6 linked regions of the Danio rerio genome follow. The protein of the gene in region 1 purifies or fractionates together with the protein of each later gene. This does not show direct contact. Links are inferred from orthologs where the notes say so. Each region holds a gene or a part of one and is shown in the gene's direction. Other genes may lie near its edges.

What was found.
Region 2: the proteins of cdk9 (region 1) and snw1 purify together in Homo sapiens (affinity purification with mass spectrometry; 4 studies listed by BioGRID and IntAct, with this or other methods). This does not show direct contact. The link is inferred for Danio rerio from reciprocal best matches to the Homo sapiens genes CDK9 and SNW1.
Region 3: the proteins of cdk9 (region 1) and larp7 purify together in Homo sapiens (affinity purification with mass spectrometry; 15 studies listed by BioGRID and IntAct, counting the BioPlex papers as one, with this or other methods). This does not show direct contact. The link is inferred for Danio rerio from reciprocal best matches to the Homo sapiens genes CDK9 and LARP7.
Region 4: the proteins of cdk9 (region 1) and paf1 purify together in Homo sapiens (affinity purification with western blotting; 3 studies listed by BioGRID and IntAct, with this or other methods). This does not show direct contact. The link is inferred for Danio rerio from reciprocal best matches to the Homo sapiens genes CDK9 and PAF1.
Region 5: the proteins of cdk9 (region 1) and immt purify together in Homo sapiens (affinity purification with mass spectrometry; 3 studies listed by BioGRID, with this or other methods). This does not show direct contact. The link is inferred for Danio rerio from reciprocal best matches to the Homo sapiens genes CDK9 and IMMT.
Region 6: the proteins of cdk9 (region 1) and mepceb purify together in Homo sapiens (affinity purification with mass spectrometry; 10 studies listed by BioGRID and IntAct, counting the BioPlex papers as one, with this or other methods). This does not show direct contact. The link is inferred for Danio rerio from reciprocal best matches to the Homo sapiens genes CDK9 and MEPCE.

What each region holds. Positions count from the first base shown.
Region 1 is NC_133196.1:7,407,141-7,412,732, forward strand, and holds the end of cdk9 (cyclin-dependent kinase 9), read left to right. Parts: intron 1-1,065; coding exon 1,066-1,237; intron 1,238-1,619; coding exon 1,620-1,768; intron 1,769-3,243; coding exon 3,244-3,609; 3' UTR 3,610-4,138; downstream 4,139-5,592. UniProt on the Homo sapiens protein: Protein kinase involved in the regulation of transcription.
Region 2 is NC_133195.1:5,549,020-5,554,869, reverse strand, and holds the start of snw1 (SNW domain-containing protein 1), read left to right. Parts: upstream 1-2,475; 5' UTR 2,476-2,487; coding exon 2,488-2,501; intron 2,502-3,981; coding exon 3,982-4,135; intron 4,136-5,223; coding exon 5,224-5,385; intron 5,386-5,487; coding exon 5,488-5,583; intron 5,584-5,850. UniProt on the Homo sapiens protein: Involved in pre-mRNA splicing as component of the spliceosome. As a component of the minor spliceosome, involved in the splicing of U12-type introns in pre-mRNAs.
Region 3 is NC_133182.1:62,360,074-62,365,791, reverse strand, and holds the start of larp7 (la-related protein 7), read left to right. Parts: upstream 1-2,016; 5' UTR 2,017-2,072; coding exon 2,073-2,089; intron 2,090-2,093; exon of another isoform or gene 2,094-2,217; coding exon of another isoform or gene 2,218-2,234; intron 2,235-2,371; coding exon 2,372-2,580; intron 2,581-2,664; coding exon 2,665-2,765; intron 2,766-2,869; coding exon 2,870-2,953; intron 2,954-3,046; coding exon 3,047-3,211; intron 3,212-4,626; coding exon 4,627-4,723; intron 4,724-4,875; coding exon 4,876-5,142; intron 5,143-5,718. UniProt on the Homo sapiens protein: RNA-binding protein that specifically binds distinct small nuclear RNA (snRNAs) and regulates their processing and function.
Region 4 is NC_133190.1:51,594,612-51,599,582, reverse strand, and holds part of paf1 (RNA polymerase II-associated factor 1 homolog), read left to right. Parts: intron 1-417; coding exon 418-519; intron 520-605; coding exon 606-711; intron 712-807; coding exon 808-876; intron 877-1,431; coding exon 1,432-1,535; intron 1,536-1,793; coding exon 1,794-1,910; intron 1,911-2,201; coding exon 2,202-2,330; intron 2,331-2,462; coding exon 2,463-2,568; intron 2,569-2,668; coding exon 2,669-2,756; intron 2,757-4,971. UniProt on the Homo sapiens protein: Component of the PAF1 complex (PAF1C) which has multiple functions during transcription by RNA polymerase II and is implicated in regulation of development and maintenance of embryonic stem cell pluripotency.
Region 5 is NC_133189.1:18,410,858-18,415,909, forward strand, and holds part of immt (MICOS complex subunit MIC60), read left to right. Parts: intron 1-1,358; coding exon 1,359-1,494; intron 1,495-1,660; coding exon 1,661-1,790; intron 1,791-1,899; coding exon 1,900-2,123; intron 2,124-5,052. UniProt on the Homo sapiens protein: Component of the MICOS complex, a large protein complex of the mitochondrial inner membrane that plays crucial roles in the maintenance of crista junctions, inner membrane architecture, and formation of contact sites to the outer membrane.
Region 6 is NC_133198.1:47,989,017-47,994,068, forward strand, and holds part of mepceb (7SK snRNA methylphosphate capping enzyme-like), read left to right. Parts: intron 1-3,621; coding exon 3,622-3,840; exon of another isoform or gene 3,841-3,863; intron 3,864-5,052. UniProt on the Homo sapiens protein: S-adenosyl-L-methionine-dependent methyltransferase that adds a methylphosphate cap at the 5'-end of 7SK snRNA (7SK RNA), leading to stabilize it.

The sequences.
Region 1 (5,592 bases):
GGCCATTGGGCTTCGCTGGTCCAGCTAGTTGGTTTTGATGTGTTCTACATGTTGGGTTAACTTGAGAGCTTGTTGGTTCAATTCTGTGTGTAGAATTGGCATCGGCTGTCGGGCGTTGTCTGATTGGTTTTTCAGCAACAAATCCGGGTTTGAGTGCGACTTAGCAAGTAAAGAAGTCATGCCAAGAAGGGTCACAAAGAGCATGTGTAATTCCGCCGGTCCTACACCACCCAACCCGCCCCGAGCTGGTATCGATCCGGCGACCTTCCGCATGGGAGTCGGGTGCTCTACCAAGGAGGCTAAAGACCATGGCTTCTAGTGTCCATCGCTAATAGTAATGTTTACCTGCACAGCACTTACTAGCTGGCCTCCGTTACACTCAGCCCCCTAAACCTCACTCTCATCCGGGTCACGACACCTATGTAACCCTGCCAGTCCTACACCACCTAACCCGCTCCGAGCTGGGATTGAATAGGCGACTTTCCGCATGGGAGTCAAGTGCTCTACCGAGAGATTAAAGACCATGACCTCTAGCGTCTGTCGCTAGAGGACCTTTAGAGGTCAGAGGAGTGAGGTTTACCTGCACAGCACTTACTGGCTGGCCTCCGTTACACACAGCTCTAATTTCACTATATTTCCCAAGTATTTGCAAGCTATATGGATTATTAATTAGACATATTTGCACAAGCAAATCCCACCGTGGTGAGTGACTATTACTGTGATTATGGGCGCTGAACGCTGCTTTGTTTACAATTGATGCTCATTCGAAGTTTGGTTTCCCTTTGTGGAAGGAGAAAACAGATACTGCCCCCTGCTGGTGGGGAATGACATGTCCTTGCACAGATGCAGAATGTGGCTCGTTTCTGTCGTCTTTTGTCAGTTTGGTCTGGTCATGCGCAGCTTTTGCTCTAGATGGGATCCAGCACGATAATAATAGGTTTTGTTGGGTGTTGGAGTTTGGCGTCAGCTTGGTGTGTCCCGGTCTTTACATGCTTTTACAAGGCACTTTTATCCAAAGTGACTTCAGTGTTTCCAGACTCAAGTGTATTATGTGTTTTGTTTCAGATCCTCCACAGAGACATGAAAGCAGCCAATGTCCTGATCACCAGAGATGGTGTCCTGAAGCTGGCTGATTTCGGTCTGGCCCGAGCCTTCAGTTTGGCTAAAAACAGTCAGGGGAATCGCTACACAAATCGGGTGGTCACTCTGTGGTATAGACCGCCTGAACTACTGCTGGGTGGGTGAAACCACATCAAACACTTGTTACTTTTCATTTTCGCTTTGTGTTGATATTGTTACGACCGGCTCATTGGAGTCGCAACATGAAAGATCAAGCAACAAAATAGTGCAAATTATTTATTATAATCAAAACTAATACAAAAACAATGATATAAATAATGCAAAACAAACCCAAAATGTTAAGAGTCAACCAGATTCGACTTCTGATTAACCACACAGTGACCTGCCCTAGCTAGCACAACAACTCTTATATACACATTAAAGCAATTATAGATTAGTAATGCAGTCATCCAATCAGGATCTACTACATTCTTTAATGAGGTCTGGGGACTTGGGATCATCACAGTATGGATTTATTTATTTATTCTGTATTTTTGTAGGCGAGAGAGACTACGGGCCTCCCATAGACCTGTGGGGCGCGGGGTGCATCATGGCGGAGATGTGGACCAGAAGCCCCATCATGCAGGGCAACACAGAGCAGCACCAGCTCACACTCATCAGTCAGCTGTGCGGATCCATCACTCCTGAGGTACACACTTTACTCCAGTAATGTTGGAGGATCAGCTCACGCAATTGCCAACCGAAAACATACTTTTCAGATGCTTTGTCAGCTTTTTATTTTCAGGATTTTTGTGTATAATTCACCTAAATTCATTAATTTTCCTTTAGCTTAGTCCCTGATTTATCATGCCAACTACTCTGGCATGTGTTTAATGCAGCGAACGCCCTTCCAGCCGCAACCCAGTACTGGGAAAATTTCACCGAAAATTTCACTCCCTTCAGAATATACTGATTGTACCATTGGGTGCACATAGTCCTCCAGAATGGTTCGGTTGTCCTTGACAGTGACAGATGCGCCAGCGAGACACACACCAATTTGTCCTCTTTTGAACTCTGTCACCCATAATGTTGTGTGCGTTGCAATATTTTTAGAAAAAAATGCTTTTATTCTTTTAATTAAACCTTCACACTCTGCTCCTACTGGTGGAATGTGCAATCACTGGTCAAATTCAGCCATGAAACCTCCAACTTTAAATTGACCAGCGTTTCAGTTTCATTGTCCAACGTCTGTATATTTATTATGCATATGAGATGCACACACATACATAAAGACAATATTTGTTACATAGATATTTTATTCTATTACGCAGTTTAATGAAGTGTATATCTAAATATAAATAAACATTTCTCTAATATATGTATGCATATTTATGTGTTTATATTTACACAAAAAGTATATACAGTACATACATGTTATCTTAAAAGTTTTTTATTTTGGATGCAATTAATCACAATCTTTGCCCAGCACTACAGGGTATCTTAAGTATAAGTCTTAATGTCTTAAATTTTAAAAAACAAATTTAAGCCTTAAAAAGTCCTTAATCCGCTGAAATATTGTGTTGTAGGTCTTAAATTAATTTTAAACTGGTCCGAATTTTCCTCTGTCCATGTAAAGCTTTACCCAATTGGGCCAACATCCATCCATCCAAACACTAACAATATATTTTTCCAATATATTTAATGGTTTTAAGAGACGTTTATTTATTAACTCTATTTACTTATTAATGTGGTTTAATTATTTTTCTTACAATTACCTGTTTTTTTTTTTTTTTTTTTTAATTTCAGGGTTTTCACCTTTTAATTGATAGGACAGTAGAGAGTATAGACAGGAAAGTGTAGGGAGCAGAGAGAGGGGAAAGATCGGCATAGGACCGCGAGGCGGGAATTGAACTCGAGTTGCCAGAACACCAGAGTGCCATGTGTCGATGCACTAACTACTACACTACTAGCACCGACACAATGACCTGTTTGTAATGTTAAGGGTTTTAACTTGGCTATTTGAATAATATTTAGCATTTAGCCTTGTGTTGTCTGAAATTTCATTCATTGTGGTCTTAAAATGGTCTTAAAGTCTTAAATTTGTCTTGGTGAAACCTGTGTAAACCCAGCACTTGTGTTTATTGATCCGCCTGTATTTAACATCTCCATTCTGCACTGTCTCAGGTCTGGCCGGGTGTGGATAAGAAGTATGAACTGTATCAGAAGATGGAGCTTCCTAAAGGGCAGAAGCGTAAGGTGAAGGACCGGCTGAAGGCGTATGTGAAAGACCCTTACGCTCTGGACCTCATAGACAAACTGCTGGTTCTGGATCCGGCGCAGAGAATTGACAGTGATGACGCTCTCAACCACGACTTCTTCTGGTCCGACCCCATGCCCTCTGACCTCAAAAACATGCTCTCCACACACAACACCTCCATGTTTGAGTATCTAGCCCCGCCCCGCAGAAGAGGTCACATGCCTCAGCAGCCGGCCAATCAGAACAGAAACCCAGCCACCACCAGCCAATCAGAGTTCGACAGGGTCTTCTGATTAATCTGTAATTGGTCGAGGAGAAAGAGACTTATTTAAATGACTAAATATACATTTCAGCACATCTTGGCTTGGAAATCCAGGCAGATGCATAGAAATCCTGGAGTTTACCATCTGCACTCACTATTGTAATTACAAAAAATACTGATTGTGGATCAGATGAGTTCTGTTGATGAAACTTTTGATGCTTTATTATGGAGCTTCAACACTTTTGAGAAATGAGTGTATTATTGTGCTGCCCCAGTGCATTGTGGGAGAGAAAAGAAGTGTACTTAGTGTATTGATGCACAGATTGTGTTATTGGATGTGAGTCTCCTGAGAAGATGATTTTGTATTGTAAAGAGCGACACGCTACTTTTGTCTAGGAGACATTTATTTAAACCCTTCACTTCTCTTGACAGATTTTATTGTTAATTTAGCTGCTTATTTTTAAAGATGTTTTTATTTGTAAGATCACGTGTTCAGGGTCATGGTGTTTGTTACTTGTATAAGTATAAATACACCAATAAATCCTCCACATTTCCCATCATTGTTGTTGTTCGTGCTGGAATATTGGGATTTAGCTTGTGGCTAAATGCAATATAATATGAATGCAATATGCTTATATAAAATACAGTATAAATGAATGAATGCCAGAAGATTGTCATATTGACATACTGCACATTATTAAGAAATTAACTGAACATTTAATTATCGCATGCAGTGCTGAGGCTGAGAATTTTTATATTTTATAGATTGTCACAAAACCACAAAGTAAAGTTGTGCTGTAATGCATGCATTTTCTCCATTTGCTGTGTTCTTGTGATGAGGATTCTCCATCCTCTCTGCTGTCAAGCTGATAGCTGCTATTCTACTGTTCTCACATCGAGCCATATCACAATTCCAGTTTTTGTGTCAAAAAAGAGCTCTTCAATTAAAAATAAGATGTGTCACACCATTTAAGGTGTTTTTGAACTTGACTATCTTACACAGTATGTTTATGGAACCCTGGAAAGAAAATCCATAAGAAATTAGATGTCCAGGCTATTTATTTTGTTTTACTGTGTTGCATGATTATGATGCAAAGCAGATGCTATTAGCTGTTGTAGGATAATTAGTACACACTCTCAGAACATTGAACCTCTTTTAGATTTAGAAAACCCTTCAGCCGAAACAAACTTGTAAAAAGAAAAAATACATCTGTCATAAGTGAATATTTTGATTACTTGCATTTTGATTTATAGTATTAAAATGTAGGCATTCATGCTACTGCCTAAAATCCAACGAGATTAACCCTTTAACTACACCACTAAAAAAATGTTTGGATTGCATTTCTTAACTCCTAATGTCGCTGGTTAACACACTCCATGCATTTTTTCCCAACGCATCCCATAATTTATAAAATTTCAGCTTCTATCAAATTTGTCTGTTTATGATAAAAGTATCAGAATTAATACATATACTATGAAAAATAAGAACATATGGTGTAGGGCCAATTTATTTAAAAACAATCAAAATAAAACTTTCTTATATATTAAATCGTTTTTATTGTTTGAAATGTCATAAAATATTTTAGATTCTCATTTAACATTTTTTTTTTCAATATCATTTTTACTGTAAAACCAAAATCAAGTGTAGTTGTGCAACAGGATTATGTTTGTTTGATTTTTTTTTGTAAACCAGCAATGCTGAACCACTATTCAAAAGTCCAGGTCCTTATTCAAAAACAGTCAAAACATCGTCTGTCCATAGACTGTGAGAACGGCAACATATCTATGAAGTGACAGGCGTTAAGGGAAGAGCGTCTGACCCTGAGCTCACTGATTGGCTTACGCGATTGCTGACCGGGCGTGGTTAATTCCTCCGCTACTGAGTGATTGGCTTACGGCGAGTACCGCGTGCTTGTTGCAAAATTTCCGTTTTCTGTCACTGTGCTCTTCTCTTTAGATGTAGTTCAGTACCTGTAACTCTTACCATCGATCACATTTACTCCACTGTTTTTTG
Region 2 (5,850 bases), on another chromosome or scaffold:
ATACACTAGATATTGCATAAGGACCCTGAACATGCGTCAATAGCGCCGCCACATTGGTACAGTACTCCCAGGACAAATGTCATTCAACCGCACTAGTCAAGACAGTGTTATTACGTGAAGATGCGGGACTTTAGCGCTGTCTACGGGTGTAGTAACGAGCAAAAAAAGAAAACAAAGCACAAAGGCAGAACATTTCATAGGTAATATTAAGTTTTTTTCTGTTTTTGTATGTTCTGAACTTTTGTGCTAATCAGGTAACGTTATTGATGATAACAGTCACTTACTGCATTCATCATACGGCAAAGCAGCTCCCACTCGCACTAAACACTCGGCTTATGCTAGTTTTGTTGAATAAAATCAGCAAACAATGCAAAAGAAATATGACAACGAGATGCTGCGCTGCCAGAAACTTGTATTATTGTCAGCTAATGTTAGTGAAAGAGTCGTTCGGGGGATTCATTCACAAACGAATCGCTCCCTCCGTCAGTATGAGAAGTGAAAGCAGGAGAGGAGCTGTGTTTCAGGACATGATTAGATTAAATTTAACAGGGAGGGTGGATATTACATTTCTGTACACACAAATACAAGCTTTTTGTCAGGAATGCCCGTGCGGTCACTGAGACATCAATGTAGAAAAGTGATGTAAAATTATAATTTTCGCAATTAGAAAAAAAATTACATACTAACATTCAGGAAACTCCCGATCATAGATATTTGGTATATGTGTATATCTCTGGCTTTGGATGGCCACAGTCCTCCACTGTACCTTGGTCGCGCATTCATTTCAAAGGAGCGCTACCCTGTAGCAAGATGGCGGCGCCATTGACGCATTCCTTTCAATTGACAACAATAGGCCAGGCGACATCCAGTGTACATATCTATGAGTGTGCATAAGTATTACCAGAGTTGTCATATTTGGGTGAATTAAACTGTTGTTTTGGAGTCAGTCGGCAGCCAGCACCTAAGCTTTTTACTCATCATAGCACACGTGCTGCTGCTGATGTGACAATAAAAGTGATTTGATTTGAACTAATCCTTTCAGGCTTTACAGAGCACACATTTATGCATTGTACTGAGACAATGCTGACTGATGAACACAACAGTCAATGAGTGAATTCAGAATAATTAGCTTTACGATATTTGATTAAGTACATCTACAGTCTTTTTCAATACTCTGTGGTGTGAAATAAACATCTACAAATGAGCCATTATCTTTAAAGAAAGAAGTTGTCTGTCAAGCTGAAAAGCAGGTCTTCAGAACATGTTAATAGTTTTAAATGGAATCTGACATTTGGCAGGGCTCGTAAAGTCCCTTGTGGCCATTTTGCTCAGATAATAGTAACTGTCTTCTTTGCATATGTCTTATTGCTCAAGGCTAACACAGGGTGTAAGAGTCTAACACATCAGTATTCTAAGGCTATACGCACACAGCTCGGCAGCCCTGTGAATTAACACACAATCTGTCTTCAACCAGTGAAATATCCTGGAAAGCTAATACAGATGAATGGGAAAGAGATATTAGCTGAGGAAGTGATATTAACACATCTCTAATCTGTTTTATAGCCATATCTAAACTGTTTTATAGCCATATCAATGCTTTCCCCCCAAGTTTAAATGAAATACAAGCTCTCATGAGGCTGTCAATGCTGTCACCAAGACAAGATTTTGTATAATAGATTCTGTAAGGTGCAATTATGTAGCATAGATTTTAGGATTCTGGATTGGTAATAAACACAGGGAAAAGAGGCTTTAGAGGGGTTTTGGCCATTTGCAGGCTGGTTTCCAGTCATTTCGAGCCTGGTCTTTGCTGGTCAGGCTGGAAAATGACCAGTTAAATTCAGCTAATACCAGCCTGACCAGCCTGGTTTAAACTGGACATAGCTGGTTTTGGCTGGACTCCCAGTCTGGCTAGACTGGTCAAGCTGGTTTTAGCTGGTCATTTCCCAACCTGACCAGCTAAAACCAGGCTGGAAATAGCTAGAAGCCAGCCTGGAAATGGGCAAAACCCCTCTAAACCAGGCTGGTCGACCAGCTAAAACCAGTCAACCAGCCTAGGCTGGTTTAAGCTGGATTTTTCTACAGGGGAGGCACAATTATCTAAAGAATAGGCACTAGTATCTAATAAATAAGCACTATCTAATACAGTTGAAGGAAAAGATACTAGTATCTAAAAATAATCACTAGTAACATAATAATATACTACTAGTATGCGTTATAGCTTAAATGTTAAAACGGCTTGCCATAAGTGGTATTTCCACATGATATGTGCTGTCAGAAGATTGTAGGCTAATGTATAGTCTATACTTTATAGTTTAGATAGGTATATATAGAATGTATAGATATATTCGATACATATAAAGCCTATAAAACGCTAAACTGTATATTATCCTCTTTATACAGTTTTGACAGCGCTTAATCCCTTAATTCTCTAAACATCGCGAGAAGTTATGAGACAGTAGAGTGACGTCAGAACGCACAGAATCCAAGATGTCGCTTACGAGGTAAGACGCAGAGAAGCTGTTTTTAAGGTTTTATGCTTCAATTTATGTGTTGAAACTCAATTTAAAAGCGTACATGTGTTTTTCATGTATGTACATTTACAGTTTGTGAAAACTCTGTGTTAGTTATTACCCAAGTTGTGTTATGTGAGACGATGAGGCCTGCTGTGTTGTGGTCTTTGTATAATAGTGAATGCTAAGCTAAAGCTACAGCCACAGCAAAAGCAAATAATAACATATTTAAAAGATAAATGGACTTTGAATATCTCATTATTATGTTTTTATTCATTATAATTGCTTATATAAAAGCTATTTATAACTTTAAAAATATATATTTATTCCTGGATGTAATGTGTAACGTTAGGCTAACGTTATTTATCATCGTCGTAGCAATTTTATTTATCAGTGTACATATGCACTATTCCAACACACTCATAGCTCTGCTCACCCCCAAGAGACGGCTGTGTTTGTGGCTCTTAATGCTTAACGTTAGGTAGCATTAACTTTTTTTTTTGACGTAATGTTACAATTGAGGCCATTCGAATAACGTTAGTCTATTAATGCAATAATATTTTCACGTGAGATCGAGCCACTGTTTCAACATCAATCACCCACGTTCCAATGAATATAGGTTGAATTTTGCATCTACATTGCAGTAAAGTTGGTTTTATATACGCACATTCTGTTTAGTGTCAACTTATGACATGCTCCCTATATTGTTTATCATGATACTTTGAATATTCAGTCTTTAATCATATACAAGTATGACTCGAAAGCAACATTAGCACAATTTATTTTGATTGTGCAATGGTATACCTTGATAGTCGGTGATTGCTTGGCTTATATGGTTTCTTATGTAGAGTTTGCAAAGAATACTTTTCTTAAATTGTATTATTAAGGAGAAAGTCTGAATGTGTGAATATAAAACAAACCTTACCTCAATTGTTAGCTGATGGTTTAATAATATGTCATCCTGGCTAGGGCTGGGCCATTAGACAAAAATCAAACTTCATCATAAGTCATCATTTTCTTTACTTTATTCATAACGTCATGATGAATGTATAAATATAAACTAAAAATTGCCCAGTGGTTTAGTGTACAGTGCTCATGGTGTCCCGAGTTCGAGGCTTGTGGACCTTTCCTGAACTTCTCTCTCACTTATCTTCCTGTCATTCTGATTTACTGTTTAATAAAGGCAAAACATTTCAAAAATACATCTCAAATAATAAAATTGAAATATTTTTAGATGTTTTTTTTTTAAGATTGCAACTTTCACACAGTGCTGTTATTCATGTTTTTGTCCACATCCTCATAATGTAGTGTAATATTAAAATAAAATAAAAACATAAAATCATTAAAATTCTGAAAAAGTATTACTGTTAATAATGTATTTTGTGACACCACATAGGATAGACTTTTAAAAGAAATTATTAGATTGCACATCTCTTAATCTGACTTGGCTCTTTTCCCCATTCTCTTTTAGTTTTCTTCCTGCGCCCACCCAACTGTCCCAGGACCAGCTGGAGGCAGAGGAGAGGTCTCAGGCATACAGATCCCAGTCCACTGCTTTGGTCTCCACCCGCAGAGACCCTCCTCCTTACGGCTTCAGAAAGTCATGGGTACCCCGGGCTCTAGAGGTACTAACAATTAAACATTACGTGCTGATAGCTGTCATATATCCTGCTGCATTATGGGCTTGTTCCAATACCCGCATTTGTAAATAGTCAAGTGATAAGACCACATGACATATCCAGTGTATTTAGAAAGTGTGGTTGCAAGTGGGCCTGATCAGGGCTGCACGATTAATCGAAAAAAAGATCATGATCTCGATTTGACCCTACACACGATCTTAATTCAGCTTTTCTACGATTCAGCCAATTCAAGGTCAGGACAGAAGCGTAAAGGCAGTCGCACAAGCCTTCACAGCAATATTGACACCTTCAAATGGTGTTAAAAGTGTCACATACTATATTTATAAGGTATAATTCTCCCAGAAATGTCATTACTGTCGAAATGTAATGATGTAATGACCGCAACCTGTTTGTTTACTACCGAGAACACGCACGTGTACAAAAATGACTCCTCCTTTAGTGAACAGAACCTGCATAGGCTGTGAAAAACATGTAATAAAGTTGTAAATAACGTTCAGTTTGTTGCACAGAACGATCGTTTGAGAGTCGTGCTAAAAGAAAGATTTGCATGTGTGTATTGTTTTCTCAGAGTGACTGCAGGCATTAGCCGCACTCGGAAGTGAAAGTAAAGTCGGCTTGCAAATCATTTATATAATCATAACGCGTTTTACAGTTCTGATTACAACAAACATTTGATATGTTTTTTTTCTTTCATAGTGAACACAGTGTTGTGCATGAAAATGAATGTTTGCTATGTCAGGATAACTACCCTAGCCTATATAATGATAAATATAATGCAAGAAGGAGTCTGATAATGACAAATGTCTCATTTTACCAGTAAAAATGTTCTAATGATGTTGTCAATGACAAATGGCAAGCACTTGTCTCAAACATAATAATTCAACTTTAGAATTATGAATAGTTGTATTCTGATGTCATAATTTTACTGTGAATTAACAAACGGTAATAATAAGTGTTATGATATTTCTTTTGGCTTGTCAATCCGCGGTCTTGACCCCTGATAAATAAGAGACTACACTGAAGGAAAATAAATAAATAAATAAATAAATGAATGAATGATATTTCTTTTAAAGGACTTTGGAGATGGAGGAGCTTTTCCAGAGATCCATGTTGCCCAGTATCCTCTGGAAATGGGTAGGAAGAAAAGGACGTCCAATGCTCTGGCAGTGCAGGTGGATGCAGAGGGCAAGATCAAATATGATGCTATTGCTAGACAAGGCCAAAGCAAAGACAAGGTACCTGATCCTCTTGTGTTATTTCATATTTTATTCATATATTCAGTGGCTCTTACCTAAGGATATGATTTGTTTTCATAATTTTTTTGTTTTTTTGAATAGGTCATATTTAGTAAATACACAGACATGCTTCCTAAGGAAGTGCTAAACCAAGATGATCCAGAGCTGCAGAAACCAGATGAAGAGGCAGTGAGAGAGGTAAGATTACAATTCAGTAGCAGTTTCTGATAGATTTCACAATTTTGTTTCAGTTTCACAATCATGCTTAAGACTGCTATAATGTACCCTTTTGTTTAAAAATTAAATACTATAATTAAATATTTACACAATTAATGCATGTCATTTTGAAATTATGTAAATGTTAACATTTTTCTTAAGTTACTGAAGTGAACTTTGAATAATAAGAAAGCTTAACAATTTTCTATCAGTGTTGTTTGATTTAATTAACATTAGGTTTGTTAGTCT
Region 3 (5,718 bases), on another chromosome or scaffold:
ATTTTTGTACAGTGAGGTCATGTCTATGGGAGGAAAAGCCCAGTGTGACTGCAGCTTCAAGTTGCGGTCACACTGGGCTTTTCCTCCCATAGACTTCCATTCATACGCACGCGAATGTGTCAGACTGGAAACACAGGGTAATGCTTTAAGTTTCACAGGTTGCTGCGGTGCAAAGTTCAAGCTTGGTGAACTCTGACCTGCAAAATAGCTTATGGCACACACAATCTGGCACACACAATCTAGGCAAACCATATATGGTTACAACAGATGCTAATGTTATTAATGTCTTTTTGAACATCGTCATCGATTAATTTTAAAATGTATGGTTAATAAATATTGTAAACAATAAACAATAGTGTTTACTTTATTTCACAAATATTGCAATCAAGACGGGTGAATGGAGAGCGTTGTTTCCGATCGCCATTCAATATAATAAACTGAACAGTTTTCTATCAGCCATCATAGATGATCAGTCATTATTATCTGACAATAATATGGCAGATACTCGTTTGCTGGCCTTGCTAAACGATCTAAATTAGACAGGTTTAATTTATATAACGGATTCATTTAATGAAGGAAGTAGCAAGTTAATATCGGCAATAATACATTTTATATGTAATAAAAATCTTTTTACATGTAACAAATGTATAACACTAAATTAATATTTTACTCAAGCGATTTAATAGTGTTTATTTTCTTATTTTTTTAATAACTTTTTAATAAATGATTTACCACATTAAATACTGTAGTAATCTATAGTAAGCAATATTGTTTTTAAACCAAAATTTAGCAGTAAAATCAAATAACTATTAATTAATAAATAAAAAAAGTAATAAATATAAATTTATCCAGGGATATCGAGGGAAAGCGGGAGGTTGCCGCTTGGCATAGATATATACATTAAATGTCGCCTACCCTGTTGTTGTCTATTGAAAAGAATGCCGCCATTTTGGAACAGGGTAGCGCTCCTTTGAAATAAATGCGGGACCAAGGTACAGTGGTGGAGGACTGTGGCCATCCAAAGCCAGAGATCTACACATATATCTATGATCGGGAGTTTTCCTGGATGTTAGTATGCAAATTAATTTTTAAATTACGAAATTATCATTTTACATCACTTTTCTACATTGATGGATCAGTGATCGCATTGGCATTCCTGACAAAAAGCTTGTGTTTGTGTATTCGGAAATGTACAATCTACCCTCCTTGTTAAATTTGATCTAATCCGTGCCCTGAAACACACCTCCTCTCCTGCTTTTACTACTCATACGGAGGGAGCGATTCGTTTGTGAATGAATTTCCCTTATGAACGACTCATCTCGTTGTCATATTTCTTTTGCATTGTTTGCTGATTTTATTCAACAAAACTAGCATAAGCCGAGTATTTAGTGCGAATTGGAGCTACTTTGCCTTATGGTGAATGCAGTAACGTTAAGTGATTGATTATCATCAATAACGTTACCTGTTTAGCACAAAAGTTCATAACATACAAAAACGTAAAAACTTAATCTTACCTATGAAATCTTCTGCCTTTGTGCTTTGTTTTCGTTTGCTCGTTACTACACCCGTAGACAGCGCTAAAGTCCCGCATCTTCACGTAATAATACTGTCTTGACAAGTGCGGTTGAATGACATTTGTCCTAGGAGCACTGCACCAATGTGGCGGCGCTATTGACGCATGATCAGGGTCCCTATGCGATATCTAGTGTATATATCTATGGCCGCTTGGTTGCACCCTTACAGTCATTGGTCGCACCATGGCACATTTGCTATTGGTGGACTTTGTAAGTGTAAAAACTAAGGATAATCAAGGTAAGGATTAAAAAAGCAACTTAGTAAAAATAGGAATGTTCTCAGGAATGGGGATTGTGGGTTCTGAAACGTCTGTGCTCTGTGGGTTTGTATTTATCTTCGGAGGGCGATATATCAAATTCCCTTTAGCAATCCCTGCTATGACATATAACAACAAAAGATGGCAGTAGTTGGACAAAAAGGTGCAAGCTGTCGGTAGAATCCAGAAGAAGAAGAAGAAGAAGCAGCAGCAGCAGCAGCAGCAGCAGCTATTAAAGAAAATGAGTCGTCGGCATTGGTAAAATTCGTAAACGAACGATTTGCTTTGAACTAAGTTTATTAGTGTTCTGCTATAAAAGTATCTTACAATAATAGTATGACCATATAAATTGGTGATGTGTGTTATTTTAGTAAAGTAATAACTGGATGAAAGTGTGTCAACGGTAATGTTAAGTGATTATTATTTAAGTTAACTGGGAGAGCGGGAATGTTAAGACAGAAATGTGAAACGGATACCCAGCTCGACGTAATTGTTATTCAATTTCAGATATATAATTTTATGACTTTGATTCAACCATAGCAAGACGATAGACACAGAGAAGATGTCTTCTGTCGGGGACACCGCCTGTGCAGACTTGAGTGAGAAAAAAGATAACGAGAAAAAGAAGAGATCCCGGGTGAAACAGCTGCTGTCTGATGTGAAGAAGCAGGTGGAATTTTGGTTTGGTGATGTGAATCTTCACAAGGACAGATTCATGAAGAGTATCATTGAGCAATCACGAGATGGATGTATGTAACTTTATTAATTGTATGATTATCTGTCAGGATACCCATCATTCGTACATATTTCACTTAACATTTTATATATTGCAGATATTGACATTGCCGTCCTGACAACGTTTAACCGAATGAAAAACCTAACTGCAGATGTCAAATTGATAGCCAGGGCTCTTAAAAACTCAACAATAGTAGAGGTATGATTTGGTTTGACAATTTCTTGTCCTTTATAAAATGAATTTTATTTCAGAATTATCCACTTACTTTGTTAGCAACTGTAACACAGCTGTGGTGTGCTTAGGTTAATGATGAGGGAACTCGTATACGACGAAAGGAACCACTTGGTGAAACCCCAAAAGATGTGGACAGTCGCACAGTTTATGTGGTAAATTACTACAAATAAGTATACATAATAATGCTAGCATACTGTATGTGTCATTTCAATGTGTATTCTCTTAAAATTGAAATTGTGTTTTAGGAGCTGTTGCCAAAGACAGTCACTCACATTTGGCTGGAGCGAGTGTTTAGCAAATGTGGACATGTGGTTTATATTAGTATCCCCAGGTACAAGTCCACAAGGCATTCTAAAGGATTTGCATTTGTGGAGTTTGAGACGCAAGAGCAAGCACAAAAAGCTGTTGAGGTAACTGTTGATAACTTTAATATTTTATATAATTTATTGGGCTCTATTTTGACGATCAAAGTGCAAAGCACAGGGCGCAAACGCATTAGGGGCGTGTCAGAATCCACTTTTTCTAATATAAGAATGGAAAAACCCGATTTGCGCCATGGCGCATGGTCTTAAGCTTATTTTCTCAAGGAGTTATGGTGTGTTTTGAGAATAAAGCAATCAGAGTCTCATCTCCCATTCCCTGTAATATTCAGTTGCATCGCGCCATAGCGCATTTGCTATTTACATGACGTAAAGTAAGAGGAAAAACTGAGCATTTTACTAGCAAGAAAACAGTTAAACAGAGCGTCTGCAGCATAAGAATAAGAGATAAGACCTTCTCATTATCGACTTTCACTTTTGCTCTCGTGGATCGTAAACCTTGTATGCACAGACATCAATTAGCCTATAAATAATTAGTTTTGTTCATTAAACGCAATGATTTGTTTCAAAACTATTTCTTAATTCAGTTCTAATTTCCAGCAAATGAATAAATGAACAATATTAACAAAGTGTGTTCAAACAACTGAATTATATCCTAATACACATGCTATGCCCCATATGGCCTAAAACTTGACAGGTGGATAAATCTAAGCTTGTTTTTAATAAAACAAATATAAATATACATATAATAAATAATACAGCTAATAATAATAACATTGCACAAAAGCAAATAGTCATGAATGAACTAAAGAAGCCTCCCGAGATGAAGAAGGCATGCATGGAAGTATGGTTTTTATATTTATGTGGGCTAGAATATAATATGTTTTGTAATATTTTAATCCTTTATATTTTTATCTTATATTTATATCCTCAATATATCCTATTTATATATCCTTAGTACTTTAATTCTTTTTCATATGTAAAGATATTTGCGTATTGCTCTACATCTTGTGTGTATTAAGCAATGTGTAAGTGAGGCGCACAACTAACGCATTCTGAGCTGGACAATGGACCGGCTTTGTTCTGGTCTATAGAACAGACTATTATAGTTACTCAAAATAGCAACGTGCCAGCAATGAGCCTCAACGCGCCTTCCTTTTTAGACCAGAACACCTATGGGCGCACATATGAGCGCAAATGCATTTGCTATTTAAACAGCGTGGCGGAAAACTTCAAAACGACTCTTGTGCCAAAGCTTAAACTAGCAAACAACAATTGCGTCAGGCCTTGTGCCACATTGCGCCGGGTGTATGATAGGGCTCATTGTTATTAAATACAGAAAAGATAATGTAAATACAAACACCAAGTTGCTAGCTTTGGGTATACACACCCATTTTTTTATTTTTATGTTTATCATATTTTTGGTTTATTATTATTATTATTATTATTTTATTCTATTTTATTATTTTTTTAATTGTTTATTTATTTATGATTTAAAATGACAGATGCTGAACAATCCTCCAGAAGATGCTCCAAGGAAGCCAGGAATCTTCCCAAAGACTTGTAGGAAAAAGGCTGTCCCTTTTGATGCTGTCACACAGGGTAACATTGATATGCCTTATGTATTTTGAAAATACTGCCTAAATTAATTTGACAATATTTTAATGTAAAAGAGGGCAGTGGCCAGTTGATGTCTTTCTACCATAATAACTAAATGATCAGTATATTATTAATAGCACATTTTGTACTTTTAGACAATGATGAGGATGGGAAGAAAAAGAAGACGGAGCTTAAAAACAGTACTTCAGAAGAAACTGGAAGTAATAATATGGATCAAGACGGAATGTTAGAGAGCACAGTTACCAGTGAACCAAACCTTGCAACGTTGACAAGCACAGTAAGCAAGAAAGCCAAGAAGAAAAGATTGCGTTCTCAGAGTTTTGAGGCATCATCTGGGGAAGACCAATATGAAATGTCATCCAAAATGAGGAAAGTTGAAGAGGAAAAAAGCGAATTGAAAGGTAAATATTGTTTTAATAAATTCATGTGATTAAAAGGTATACTTGGCTCTTTCTTATCTATAAATCTCAGACCAAGAGCATTTAGGTATATATTTAGCTATAAGGCTCTTAAAAATCTTCAAAGTAGCAGACAAATGTTCTACTAGAATAGTTTTGCTGCATTTAACATGTTTTTGTCTATACTTTGAGTTTATACCTATGTTTAGGGTCACAAAGAACTAAATTAAGAAAACGTTTTACAAAAAACATCTGCTAGCTTTAATTGTGGGGAAAAATGATATTATGAGCTTTTACAAACTTAATTTCATCTTCTGTATTTAAAATACATATTGGTTATATATCACTTAAGATCATGTAGCATATGACTGTAAGGACTTTGATGCATTTGTGTATAATTGTTATTCATTAATAAGGCTCCTGCGATTTTGTCTGTGTTCAACGTCGACAATGATAATTAGTCAACATTAAGGGCCCTATCATACACCTGGCGCAGTGTGGCGCGGCGCAATAGTCTTTTGGTAGTTTCAGCTTGGCGCAAGAGTCGTTTTGAGGCGTTGCACTACGCTGTTTAAATAG
Region 4 (4,971 bases), on another chromosome or scaffold:
GTGTGTGCGTGCATGACTGTTTCTGTGTGTATGAATGTTTGAGTGTGTTTGTGTGTGTGTGTGTGTGTGTATAAATGTTTGTTTGTTTGTGTGTGTGCATGAATGCGTGTGTGTGTATGTGTGTTATAGGTGTATTGTGTTTTGTGCATAGTACGTGTCTCTTCATCTGCATGTGTTTTGGTGTGTAAATATTGATGTGTAATACGTGTGTGTGTGTGTGTGTGTGTGTGTGTGTGTGTGTGTGTGTGTGTTTCTGATCTCTGCATGTGTTTGTCTGCATTTGTGTGTTATCTACATCTGCATGTTTAATGTGCGTGTATGTCGTGGTGTATATAATGTGTGTACGTGTGTGTGCAATGTGTGCCTGTTTGTGTATATAATATGTGTGTGTGTGTGTGTGTGTGTGTGTGTGTTTAGGTCACAGCAGCATGCGAAGGTGGTGCCGTGGATGAGGAAGACGGAGTACATCTCCACTGAGTTCAACAGATACGGCGTCTCCAACGAGAAGGTGGAAGTCAAGTGAGTGACACCTGTCTGACCTTTGACCTCTCTGACATTACATGCAGATCATGGGTCATGTAACGTGTGTGTGTGTGTGTGTGTAGGATCGGTGTGTCCGTCAAGCAGCAGTTCACAGAGGAGGAGATCTATAAAGACAGAGACAGTCAGATCGCTGCCATTGAGAAGACCTTCGAAGACGCTCAGAAATCAGTGAGGGAACAAACACACTCACACACACACACACACACACACACACACACACACACACACTGATTTCTAAGCTCACTCTCTGTTGGATTCTTTCAGATTTCCCAGCATTACAGCAAACCCAGAGTCACACCGGTGGAGGTGCTGCCCGTCTTCCCTGACTTCAAGGTCTTACACACACACATACACACACACACACACATTCATAAACACTTAATCACAGACATGCTCACTGCAAACATACACACAGATACTCTCACACACACTTACCTTCACATTCAAACACACACTCAGTCATACACTCACGTAATCAAAGACTCGAATCACTTCCGCACACAAACGTACTCACATGCACATTCTTTCAGAGACATACTCACATGCTCACACACACACACACACACACACACACACACACACACACACTCCATTCACACTCACTCACACATGTCAAAAAGACGAGCAATAATCTAGCTGTGACTCCATGACGTGTTGTGTGTGTGTGTGTGTGTGTGTGTGAGATGCTGCTGCGGCAGTGGTGTGTGTGTGAGTGTGTGTTTGTGTGTGTGTGCGTGCATGCGTCAGTAGACAAGTTCACCGTGTTTCTAGAATTCAGCTCAGAAGTGTGTGTGTTGAGTCAGTAAATCAGTGTAAGCGCTGCATAGTAAAGGAGCTCTCACTGTGTGTTTGCGTGTGTGCGCGCGTGTGTGTGTGTGTCGTTCACAGATGTGGATTAATCCGTGTGCTCAAGTCATCTTTGATTCTGATCCGGCTCCTAAAGATGTGTCTGCACCGGCTGGAGTGGACATGATGTCACAGGCCATGATCAGGTGTGTGTGTGTGTGTGTGTGTGTGTGTGTGTGTGTGTGTGTGTGTGTGTGTGTGTGTGTGTGTGTGTGTGAGATGATGATGATGATGATGATGATGTGTGTGTTTCTCTTTATGTTGTTAGTTCTGTGTACCTTCATGTGTGTGTGTGCGAGCGCATCTTTATCTGTGTATGTGCATGTACTGTACTGTATGCATTTGTGTGTGCGCACATGTAATGAGCTGTGTGTGTGTGTGTGTGTGTGTGTGTGTGTGTTCAGAGGTATGATGGATGAGGAAGGGAATCAGTTTGTGGCGTATTTCCTGCCTAATGAAGACACGATGCGCAAACGCAAGAGAGACGTGGAGGAGGAGCTGGACTACATGCCTGAGGAAGTGTAAGACACACACACACACACACACACACACGTTCAGATTCACAGAGTGTTTTCATAAAGCTGCATACATGTTTAATAGGAGCAGGTGAATTCAGATTGTGTTTGAGTTTTCACGAGGACACACTCTGCACACACACACACACACACACACACACACACACACACACACACACACACACACGACTGACAATCCACTGTGATGACGTGTGTGAGGCTGTCTGTAACGTGTGTGTGTGTGTGTGTGTGTGTGTGTGTGTGTGTGTGTGTGTGTGTGTGTGTGTGTGTGTGCAGGTATGAATATAAGATTGCTCGTGAGTATAACTGGAACGTGAAGAACAAGGCCAGTAAAGGATACGAGGAGAACTACTTCTTCATCTTCAGAGACGCAGATGGAGTTTATTATAATGAGCTGGAGACCAGGTACCTGTCAATCACACTGATGGCCCCGCCCACCATCAGCACACCCACTTACTGTATATCACGGATTCATGTGTGTGTTGATGAACGTGTCTGATGGTAATCTTGTGTGTTTGTTTGTGTGTGTGTGTTCAGGGTGCGTCTGAGCAAGCGGCGGGCGAAGGTTGGCGCTCAGTCATCCACAAACGCAGTGCTGGTGTGTAAACACAGAGATATGAATGAGAAGGAGCTGGAGGCTCAGGTCAGTACACACACACACACACACACACACACACCGCTCATGTGATCATCTACAGCTCTCATTTACAGACTAATGAATGGTGTGTGCGTGTGTGTTACAGGAGGCTCGCAAGGCTCAGCTGGAGAACCACGAGCCGGAGGATGAAGAGGAGGAGCTGGACCTGGAGAAGGACATGCAGGAGGACTCGGGTAACACACATTCTACCAGTTTCTGTTAGTCATTATAGTTGTCTGTATAGTTTGTCTATACAGTCATGCTTTTCATTAGTTGTAGATTTCATTATGTTGCAATCATGGTTTCGTTATTATAGTTGTCTATATAGCTAGCTTCTGCCATAGTTTTTGTTAGTTGTTGCCTGTGTAGTTACAGTCACGGTTTTCGTTACTTATTGTAGTTGTCTATAGCAACAGTTGTGTTTTTGTTAGTTGTTATAGTTGGTCACAATTTTCGTTAGTTGCTGTAATTGTCTACTTAGTTACTGTCATGGTTTCTGTTGGTTGTTAAACTCATGGTGTCTGTTAGTTACTGTAGTTGCAAATGTAGTTACAGTCATGATTTCTGTTATTGTAGTTGTCTATATAGTAACAGTCATGGTTCGTTATGTTATAGTTGTCTATATAGTTAATCGTTATTTGTTAATTATTGTAGTTATCTTTATAATGACAGTCATGATTTCTGTTATTGTAGTTGTCTATATAGGTGCAGTCATGATTTGTTAATTATTGTAGTTGTCTATACAGTTACAATCATGATTTCTGTTATTATAGTTGTCTATACAGTTACAGTCATGGTCTTCATTAATGTAGTTGTCTATATAGTTACAGTCACGATTTCTGTTATTGTAGTTGTCTATATAGTAACATTGATGGATTTAGTTGTCAGAATCAGTTTCTATAGAATCAGTATCTATAGTTACGGTGATGGTTTTCATTACTTGTAGTTGTCTATATAGTTTCAGTCATGCTTTCAGAGTTCATCTGTGTGTTCGTATAGTTGTCTATTATAGTTACAGTCATGTTTTTTGTTATTGTAGTTGTCTATATAGTTACAGTCATGTTTTCCGTTAGTTATTGTGGTCATCTCTATAGTTTCAGTCTTGGTTTTCATGTTCGTGCGTGTGTTTGTGTAGTTGTCTATATAGTTACAGTCATGCTTTCTGTTATTGTAGTTGTCTATATAGTTACAGTCATGATTTGTTAGTTATTGTAGATGTCTATATAGTTACAGTGATGGTTGTAGTTATTAGAATCAGTTTCTATAGAATCAGTGTCTATATATTGACAGTGATGGTTTTTGTTACTTATTATAGTTGCCTATATAGTTAGCCATGATTTGTTAGTTATTGTAGTTATCTTTATAATGACAGTCATGTTTTCTGTTATTGTAGTTGTCTATATAGTTACAGTCATGATTTGTTAGTTATTGTAGATGTCTATATAGTTACAGTGATGGTTGTAGTTATTAGAATCAGTTTCTATAGAATCAGTGTCTATATATTGACAGTGATGGTTTTTGTTACTTATTATAGTTGTCTATATAGTTAGCCATGATTTGTTAGTTATTGTAGTTATCTTTATAATGACAGTCATGTTTTCTGTTATTGTAGTTGTCTATATAGGTGCAGCCATGATTTAATTATTGTAGTTGTCTATATAGTTACAGTCATGATTTGTTAGTTATTGTAGTTGTCTATATAGTTACAGTGATGGTTTTCATTATTTGTTATAGTTGTCTATACAGTTACAGTCATGGTTTCATTACTTATTGTAGTTGTCTATATAGTTACATTTAGTTGTCAGAATCAGTTTCTATAGAATCAGTTTCTATATAGTTACGGTGATGGTTTTTATTACTTGTAGTTGTCTATAGTTACAGTCATGATTTCTGTTATTGTAGTTTGTCTATATAGTTACAGTCATGGTTTTTGTTATTTGTTATAGTTGTCTATATAGTTACAGTCATAGTAACGCTGATTTGTTACTTATTGTAGTTGTCTATATAGTAACATTGATGGATTTAGTTGTCAGAATCAGTTTCTATAGAATCAGTATCTATATAGTTACGGTGATGGTTTTCATTACTTGTAGTTGTCTATATAGTTTCAGTCATGCTTTCAGAGTTCATCTGTGTGTTCGTGTAGTTGTCTATTATAGTTAAAGTCATGTTTTTTGTTATTGTAGTTGTCTATATAGTTACAGTCATGCTTTCAGAGTTCATCTGTGTGTTCGCGTAGTTGTCTATTATAGTTAAAGTCATGTTTTTTGTTATTGTAGTTGTCTATATAGTTACAGTTATAGTTTCTGTGTTCATGTGTTTTTGTATAGTTGTCTATATAGTTACAGTCATGTTTTCCGTTAGTTATTGTGGTCATCTCTATAGTTTCAGTCTTGGTTTCCATGTTTG
Region 5 (5,052 bases), on another chromosome or scaffold:
ATACGTTATCGTCCCGCAAGTTAAGTATGTCTTGCAGTTGAACAAGGGGCCGACCACAGCTAATGTGCTTTTTTCATTCCAAAAACCTGAGGCGCACCTCACTGCCTTTATGTTGACAAGGAAAAAAGAAGAGAAGAAGCGCGGTCCTCTTATGAAACAACTGAATCAGCTGGGTATCGATTGTGCAAAAGTGTTGCTGTATATGTTGATAAAATTGTAATATTTAATAATATTGTGATAATCAAGATTTGTACATTCATACAGCTCTGGATAACTTAAAACAGCGATTAGACCTTCAGAGTATGGAAGCATATGAGTAGCATAATTTAATTCAAAATGTAATATGCAAAATGGCAATGCAATATGTTAAATGGCAATGTATTTCTGTATTTGAATTTGCATTTTCCAAGACATATGAGCAATGTTTGGTGCAGAATGAAAATGTAAATTAAATTACATTGTTTGCATTTCTCATTTCAAACACTGTTTTAATATGTAAATTGTATCCACATTTTAAAGCTTCATAAGTAGCGAAATTAAATTGAAAATGCTATACACAAACTGAATTTGATGTGAATAAAGTACAAGCAGAAACTGTAGCAAAATGATCATTTGAATGTTATTTGTCCTAAATGCATTTACACTCGCGTCTAGGAAATGCAGGATTACATTTTCAGCATAACAGCATGGGATGTGTGTAGCAAAATTAATTTTGAAATGTAATACGCAAAACGATAATGCAATATGTAAATGGCAGTGTATTTCTGTATTTCAGTTAGCATTTTCCAAGACATATGTGCAATGTTTGCTGCAGAATGAAAATGAAAATGAAAAAAACATAATGCATTTTCATTTAACACATCGCGACGAATGAAAGTCGATTTGAAATTGAAAATGCATTCTGGCCTGGCCACGCCCACAGACGGCCGCCGTTGCTGCAAGACGAGTTTTAGGTTATGTCGTCACAGCTGCAGCGAGGACTATTTGGGACATTTGGCAGCATAAACATGGTGAAGTCTGTTCCTCAGCGGCTTCGTGAAGCTGCACGAGCCCTCAAGCGTGAACTGGGAAATACTTTAGAAAACCAATCACCTCCTAGCTCAGTAAACTTGGCTTAAGGTTTGATATTCACGCACGCAGTTTTAGGGATCATCTGCAAATTCTCTAATGAAAATAAGTAAACAAAAAAAAGCGTTATACAGATAAAATTGAATTGAATATTCTGATATTGTATTTATCTCTGCACCTTTAGAAAGAACCAATTTGTATGATTTGAGTCTTGCACGTTGTTTAGGTGTAAATATGTACACTTGGTATTTCACAAATTACACTCATTTTTTTTTCATCTCTATATATAGAGGAGAGCTTGAAAAGCTGCGTAGTGTGATCGACAAAGCAAAACAATCCAAGATTGATTCGGCGAGACCGCAGATCCTGGCCGCTGAGGAGAACTTGCACAGCATGATTGTGGATCTGGACAAAGTTGTAACCAAGGTAAGTATTGTAAACATCACAACATAAATGTGCTCTGAAGAAACCCCCTGTACATATTAATGAGATTTGTGCCTGTAATCTATTTAGCTTTATGCTCTCAGTGACTATTAGTGCATCCCATCTGGATGTGTAACTCAATCCTAGGTGTTGTCTGTCTCCTGCGCAGGTGCAGACGGCACAGTCCGAGGCCAAGATCGTGTCTCAGTACAGTGAGCTGGTAAATGAAGCTAAAGCTCAGTTCCAGCAGGAGCTTGCCAACATCACACCTGAGATCCAGGCCAACTGGAAAGGACTATGTAAGATATCACACTCTTTACATGGATTCAAGTTCTCTACATTTTATATTAATAAAAGCTGATGATGGTTTATTAAAGTGATGTAAAGGGGATTCCATGTTTTTCTCAGCGGGAAAGCTGAGCGCAGATGATCTGAACTCTCTGATTGCTCATGCCCACCGGCGCATCGACCAGCTAAACCGAGAGCTGGCAGAGCAGCGCGTGAGGGAGCAGATCCACATTGAAGTGGCTCTAGAGCAGCAGAAGCTGGAAGATCAGAAAGCGCAGGAGAGAGCCGTGATTTCTGCTCTGGAGCACAGCCGAGAGGACATGAGACTCGAGCAGGAGAAAAAGGTCTGGTATTCACTGCTGTACTGTTATGCAAAGTATTAAATCGCTAAATAATGAATATGTTTTTTTAAGAAAGTCATATTTAGAATGATGTGTTAATATTCTCTGTAGCATCAGTAAGGTAGGGTCTGAATGGGTCATAAAATGAATTTTCCAAAATGTTTAGTTTTTTTAAATTTATTTTTGTGCTTAAATGTCTATTTCAGAGTGTCTGCTTGGTCTTAAAGTCTTAAATTTACTAAAATGCTGTGTTGTGGGTCTTAAAGAGCCATGAAACCCCATTGTTTCAGCAGGGTGTTTTCACACCTCTACTTTGGAAAAAGTCAGAAAAGTGGGCGTGTCCAGCTCTGTTTAGGGGGGAGTGTCGGAGGAAGAAAAGAGGAATGGTATGGGAGTGTCTATTTGGGCACGCGCGAGTTTCAGAGTCAAGACACACACACACACACAAACACGGGAGAAAGGGATGGTGTTTACATGGACATCTGTAGTCGAATTATTTGCCAAATTATTAAATGGTGGACTTTAACTGCAGTTTGGCTCTTTCACTCAGGGAATTCATTCATGTCCCTCGCGACAAACGAGATATTTGATTCGAGGAACTGCTCTAAGAGTGTATTTTTCATGCAATGTTTGATACCGCACGGCGAATGAGAGAAAAAAACCCTCCGCATTTCCCGGAAACTTAGATGCACACGGCAGGTAGCGTCAGAAAGCCGCGTGGGTTATTCCGGTCACAAAATGCGGCAAAAATCCTACACGAGGTTAAAGTTTACTTGTGGTGCTAACATGTTTACACTCGATGCTATAAGTAACTTAGTTCGATACGAACAAACTGAATAAACAAAGAGCACTGGTTGCTCACTTACCAAATCTATAGAGACAGGACAATCACCAGCAACTAGAGTCGCGTCTTTTTTAAGAGAAGACTTCAAGCGAATCCGGATCTCAGCGTTTGCAGATGAGAACAGCTCTCAGGTACACAGTGTTCCTCCTTAGACACGCAAGTAATTGTTGCCGAGCGTCGCGTGCACTGTTAATCCACACGTGACTCCAGCTGAGCTCTCACAAAGAGAAAATGAAAACAAATTTTAACTGCAGCAAACTATAAAAGCAACACTTCACGCTTGTTTTGCCAATACAACGTGTCGTCTCTGCCGTCTAAACACTGTGACAGTAATGACACTATGACAGTAATGAATATTAATGAAGTTGCACAATAGAGCGCGCTGATTGGTTTGAACCAAGCCTTACTCATGCATTAATGCATCACACTGTAAGACGTAATAAGACACACTCTGGCACAGACGCCCAGTCTGCACGCTGGAATACAACGCTATTATGTCATGGCCGTGACGCAGCTTCAAAAATTCGTTTCAAACCGGAAATACGAATTTGCTTGAAATAACGCAAAAACAACCAATTTACACTTTTTAGCGAAATATAGGTGTCCTAATAGTGTTTTTAGCAGTGTGGGACACATATACGACTGTCAACAGCTCAAAAAATGTGTTTTGGTGTTTCGTGACCCTTTAAATCTTTCTTAAACAGGTCTTAATTTTCCTTTGTTTATGTATTACTTCCCAATCTGGCCAAAACCCATACAATCACCAACAATCCATCTCAATAAATCTTTAAACTTTTTTAGAAGGTAAACTTTTTAAAAAGGTAGTTTTTAACTTTATTTATCATAATGGTTGAATTATTTCCCTACAATAATATTTGTTTAAAAGTTCTCCGTGTATTTAATGCTGAGGACATTGTCCTGGTCAAATTGTTGTCCATAGATTTAGTTTATTATACTTTTTAAACATTTTGATTTTTATGTAAAAGAAAGTTTATGTTGGGAAAAAAGTGTATGGAGACAAGTAGAGCTTGCTTGTTTTTACACAATATTTAAAATATTTAGCTAAAAAATAAAATCTAAAATATTTTAATTGTTTTTATTAATGTATTATTGTATTATTAAATGTATTAAATTCTAATAATTTTTTTGATAGGTCAAATAATAATCTTTTCCATCTGGGCCATTTTAAAAATTCCTTAGCATTTAGTGCTAGTGTAAAATTTCATTTATAATGAATGAAAAATGTCTTAAAAAGTCTTAAATTTAAATCTGTGAAACCTGCAAAAACTCTGTATTTTTTTTTTACGATTTTTATTAGCAAAATTATTTTTATTTAAAACAAATTCTTTGTCCAAAGATTATATCCACTGCCCAATAAACAGAGCAACTGTCCCTTACGGCTGGTTGGCCTACAGGTGGATGGTCCCACATTGCTCTTTAGGGCTGAACCCAGCAGGGTACCATGGGAAACAGCCAGGCCCTCACATACGAACGCCAACCCTAGCTTCAAAGTGAGGCCCCAGTTGCAACACACTAGGCAATGTCATGTCCCTCGATTTTATTGTACTCATAAGGGGGTTTTGAACCACACTTAAAGCTGATTTATACTTCTGTGTTGAGTGATTGCTGTGACCCACAGCGCATGCCTTGTGTGTAGCTGTGCATCTATGCTTCTGTCTGCTGCTTGTGTTGCTCTGCAACTTTAATCATTTGGTAAATGCAAAACAAAACTTTCCATCTGGAGCTCCTTCACGGGACTTGACACTCTTGGCTCTCACCCACACTCATCAGCGTTACCCAACTGACCAATCACAGAGCTTACGCTACATGTCGTTGCGACGTGTAGTTAATTTTTTTGAGAGGTGTGTGTAAGCGTCAGCTACTGTGAGAAGTATGCGACCGCATGAAGGCTGCACTGGACCATACGTGTGCGCTTGACGCAGAAGTATAAATCAGCCTTTAGACTGACCTGTCACCTAAAGCCGCCTTTCCACATGACATTTGGACACGACTATTATGCCCCCTTGTGGCAGTGGCACAGAATTTTCAGTTTTGTCATGTATCATGGGATAGCTCTCAAGCAGGTCA
Region 6 (5,052 bases), on another chromosome or scaffold:
CTGTCTGTATTTCTATATATGGAATCTATCTATCTATCTATCTATCTATCTATCTATCTATCTATCTATCTATCTATTCATCCATTCATCTATCTATCTATCTATCTATCTATCTATCTATCTATCTATCTATCTATCTATCTATCTATTCATCCATTCATCTATTTATCTATCTATTCATCCATTCATCTATTTATCTATCTATCCATCCATCCATTCATCTATCTATCTATCTATCTATTCATCTATCTATCTATTCATCCATTTATCTATCTATCTATCTATCTATCTATCTATCTATCTATCTATCTATCTATCTATCTATCTATCTATCTATCTATTCATCCATTCATCTATTTATCTATCTATCCATCCATCCATTCATCTATCTATCTATTCATCTATCTATCTATTCATCCATTCATCTATCTATCTATTCATCTATCTATCTATTCATCCATTCATCTATCTATCTATCTATCTATCTATCTATCTATCTAACTCTATTCATCTATCTATCTATCTATCTATCTATCTATCTATCTATCTATTCATCCATTCATCTATCTATCTATCTATCTATCTATCTATCTATCTATCTATCTATCTATCTATCTATCTATCTATCTATCTATCTCTCTCTATTCATCCATTCATCTATTTATCCATTCATCTATCTATCTATCTATCTATCTATCTATCTATCTATCTATCTATTCATCCATTCATCTATCTATCCATCCATCCATCCATCCATATCTGTCCGTCCGTCCGTCCGTCTTGTCTGCCCATCCATCCATCCATCCGTCTATCTATCATAGTTCTATCTGTCTGTCTATTTATCTATATTTCTATCTGCATCCATCAACCCATCAACCCATCTGTCTATATCATGAACATATATAAAATAACATATACACCTCTTTTTTTACAAAATATTGGAAAAATATCAGTTTACAAATTCATTTGCAATTATTAGAAATGTACTTATGCACATAAGATCAAAATATTTCCTAGAATTTTTTTACATGCCCTATATTATTATTATTTGGCCACATATTACATTTCTGGATGGACTCGAAAACAGACTATTAAGCGTCAGTGCGGACAATTGGACAGTTAATTGCATAATTGCAATTATTTCTTAGAGAAAAGATTTGTTCCTGACCATTTTAGTCATATCACACATTAAAGTGAATTTTATATTAAATTGTGGTGTACACAACAGTCTCTTGACATGCTGCATCACAGACACCAATATTTTAACAATTTTTTAAAAATGAATCTCTTTCTGGACATCTGATATTGGGCAACGTTTATTATTACAATGTGTTGAGTCTCCCCATACAGTTTAATGAAGGCCTGGAAGCAGCGTCACGTGATGCCACGCCGCCAGCCAGCCAATTACCACAATCACCTCTAAAATAATAGGACATTTTATGTTATTAACTTATTTAATATTTAAGTTTTTTTATAAATTTATATTAAATATAAAATATTTCTGTGTAGCTTTATAAAAAATGAAAAATCCGTTTGTTCTTTGAATTTTTGGATTGAAAATTTGCATTTGAATAAGCAGCATTTCTCAGTCTGTGTGTTTAAATCTCACTTACCATAAACTAGTGATAAATGTTTATTAAAACTAAAGCTAAAACCATCAAATAGTTTGTTCAAATTAAAATAATTACAGAAATTAAATGAAATTAAATATGTCAGGACATTCAACTGGACTGTTAGAGTCGTTCATCTTTGATCAGAATCTGAGGATGTGCTTCCGCTCTGGAATCTCCACCTTCTTTTGATGTCAGTCTGACTGATTGGCCAGAACATTCATAGCTACGCCCCTCCAATGTAAACCCCGCCCTTTCTGAATAGTACACTTCAGTAGCCAGAGAAGTCACAACACTGAAGTTTGTAGGAAGTGAAACATCCGCTTTAAGCAGACTTTAAGCCTGTTTCAGATTCATGCTAACACTTTCTTTCTTTCTTTCTTTCTTTCTTTCAATTAAAAATAAATAAAAAATAACATTTAACATTTTTAATAATTTATAAATATAAAAATTTATATTTATTTAAATGTTATTTTTTTTTTATTTTTATAATATATTTTATTTTTACAATTATATAAAATATATATATAATTTTATTTATTTTTATTCATATTTATTTTTCTTTATTTATATATTTTTAATTATTATTAATATTAATTTATTCATGTTTTCATGTATTTTGGACCCTCTGGTATCCATTATTTATACTGTTCATGCTCCCTGCAAAACAAGGCTTCCTATCTTGAGTATTTCTAGTCATGCAGACAGAGTTGTGTGTGTGTGTGTGTGTGTTCAGCCACACCTTCCTTTAGTGTCAGGTTTTGACATGCCCCTGTGAGTGTGTGTTTTTTCATGTTTTTATATCCTGGTGGGGACTTAAAGGGACACCACCCAAAACAGCAAATTTCCTCATTTACTCACACTATTTTATTACTATTTTTTTATAACGCACATTTCTTTCTTCTAAACCAGTTTGATTTTCATCTGTTGAACTCAAATAAAGGTATTGTGAAGAACGATGGGGGGGAAAAGGAGCCATTGACATCCATAGAAGGAACAAAAAAAACTGTACAAGTCAATAGCTGTTCTTTTTTCGCAGCATTCTTCAGTGTATCTTCATGTGTGTTCAACAGAAGAAAGAAACACAAACAGGTTTGGAATAAGTGGAGGATGAGGAAAAGATGACAGAATTTTAATTTTGGGTTGAACTGAGTTTCCCTTTAAACCCGAATGCACAGAGATTCATGGGGGCCATGGCTGAACAATATATCTGTTTGAGCATCGATCGTGCATATGCGCAATAGTCACATCACAGGATTACATTATTTATTAAAGATTAAAACACAAAGTTTTTATCTTTAAAAATTCCTTTATACAATTATGACCCTGTTATTTTAGGTTGGATTGTTTAATTTCTGTGCTAGACTTGTGTTAGACTCCCAAGAAAACCACGAATGCCATGTTTATATACTTGTAATTTATTATAACTAATTCATTCGTTTTCTTTTGACTTAGTCCCTTATTTATCAGCAGTCACCACAGCAGAATGACCCGTCAACTATTCCATCATGTTTTACACAGCTGATGCCCTTCCAGCTGCAACCCATTACTGGAAAACACCTATACACCCTCATTCACACACACTCACATACACTATTTCCAATTTAGTTCATCAGTTCCCCTATAGCGCATGTGTTTGGACTTGTGGGGGAAACCGGAGCTCCTAAAGGAAACCCATTCTAACACGGGGAGAACATGCGAACTCCACACAGAAATATCAACTGAGCTAGCCGAGGCTCGAACCAGAGACCTTCTTGCTGGTAGGCCACAGTGCTAACCACTGAGCCACCGTGCTGCCATAGTTATTATAATATATATGCAAATGCACTGCACAGAAGAAGACTCATACCAGTATAAATAAATGAAATCCTTCTAAAAAGAGCTACTAAAATCATCTGGTGTAATTATATTCATATTGCAATATATAAAACAAAATATCGTAATGTCAGACGTTTCCAATATTGTGCAGTCCATTATAAACGTGTGTGTGTGTTTGTGGGATGTCCTGCAGGGCGATTATGTGCCGGACAGTGATGCGGCAGTGGTGTCACAGAGCGCGGAGTATGATGTCATTCTGTGTCTGAGTTTGACCAAGTGGGTTCACCTGAACTACGGCGACGCTGGAATTCAGAGGCTGTTTGGGCGGATCTACAGACACCTGTTACCTGGAGGAGTGCTGATCCTCGAACCGCAGCCCTGGAGCTCATACAGCCGCCACAAGAGACTGACGGTAACGCACACACACAAGCTAGTGTTGTCAAAAGTATTGAATTTGATAAATTTTAAAAACGTCCATTTCCTGCTATCATGTAAGTGCTGTTGAGCCTGTTCTTAAACACCGCTTATAGGCCATTGTGTTCACTTGCTCAACAGAAATGATTGTCATTGGCTGTGATGGTCATCAGTTCACTGCGGTTTACCGAGTGCAAACACAGTTACACAGACACTAGAGCACTTTAACCGTTTCATATGTATGATCGCCCTTGGCTGGTTTTTGAAGTGTACGATCACACTGGTGTGATCAGCTTTGACTGGTCCCTGAACCGTACGATCACACCAGCATGATCAGCCTTGACTGGTCCCTGAAGCGCATGATCACACTGGTGTGATCAGCCTTGACTGGTCCCTGAACCGTACGATCACACCGGTGTGATCAGCCTTGACTGGTCCCTGAACCGTACGATCACACCGGTGTGATCAGCCTTGACTGGTCCCTGAAGCGCATGATCACACTGGTGTGATCAGCCTTGACTGGTCCCTGAACCGTACGATCACACCGGTGTGATCAGCCTTGACTGGTCCCTGAAGCGTATGATCACACTGGTGTGATCAGCCTTGACTGGTCCCTGAAGCATATGATCACACTGGTGTGATCAGCCTTGACTGGTCCCTAAATCGTACGATCACACCGGCGTGATCAGCCTTGACTGGTCCCTGAAGCGTATGGTCACACTGGTGTGATCAGCCTTGACTGGTCCCTGAAGCATATGATCACACTGGTGTGATTAGAATGTTCAGAGCGCTCGTCATCAACTGCTAAAATTCTAATCTGACGGCGCATGCTGAGGCACAGCAAGAGGTGCGCAGCACTTGTCAGATAACAATTTTTTCGTGCTGTCAGACATTCAAATACACATGACTACAAGCAAAACTTACCATTTACTATTTGTAAAATATATGCTGATGTCTATGAAGATGGCAATAATAATTATTTTTCAATATAACTGTGCTTTTTTCAAGTAAGATACACACTGTTTATGTTACTAGAATATTTTCTCTATTCCCAGATAAACAGTTGCTTACCTTCATGAATTTCAGAAGAAAATTATGGATAAACATGACTTAAATCCAGCAGCTCGGATCTCTCCTGTGGTTTTTGCTTGAGGGGATACAGCTGCAATCAGAAGTTAATGAGAAGTATCCTCAGCTGTATCCTATTTAG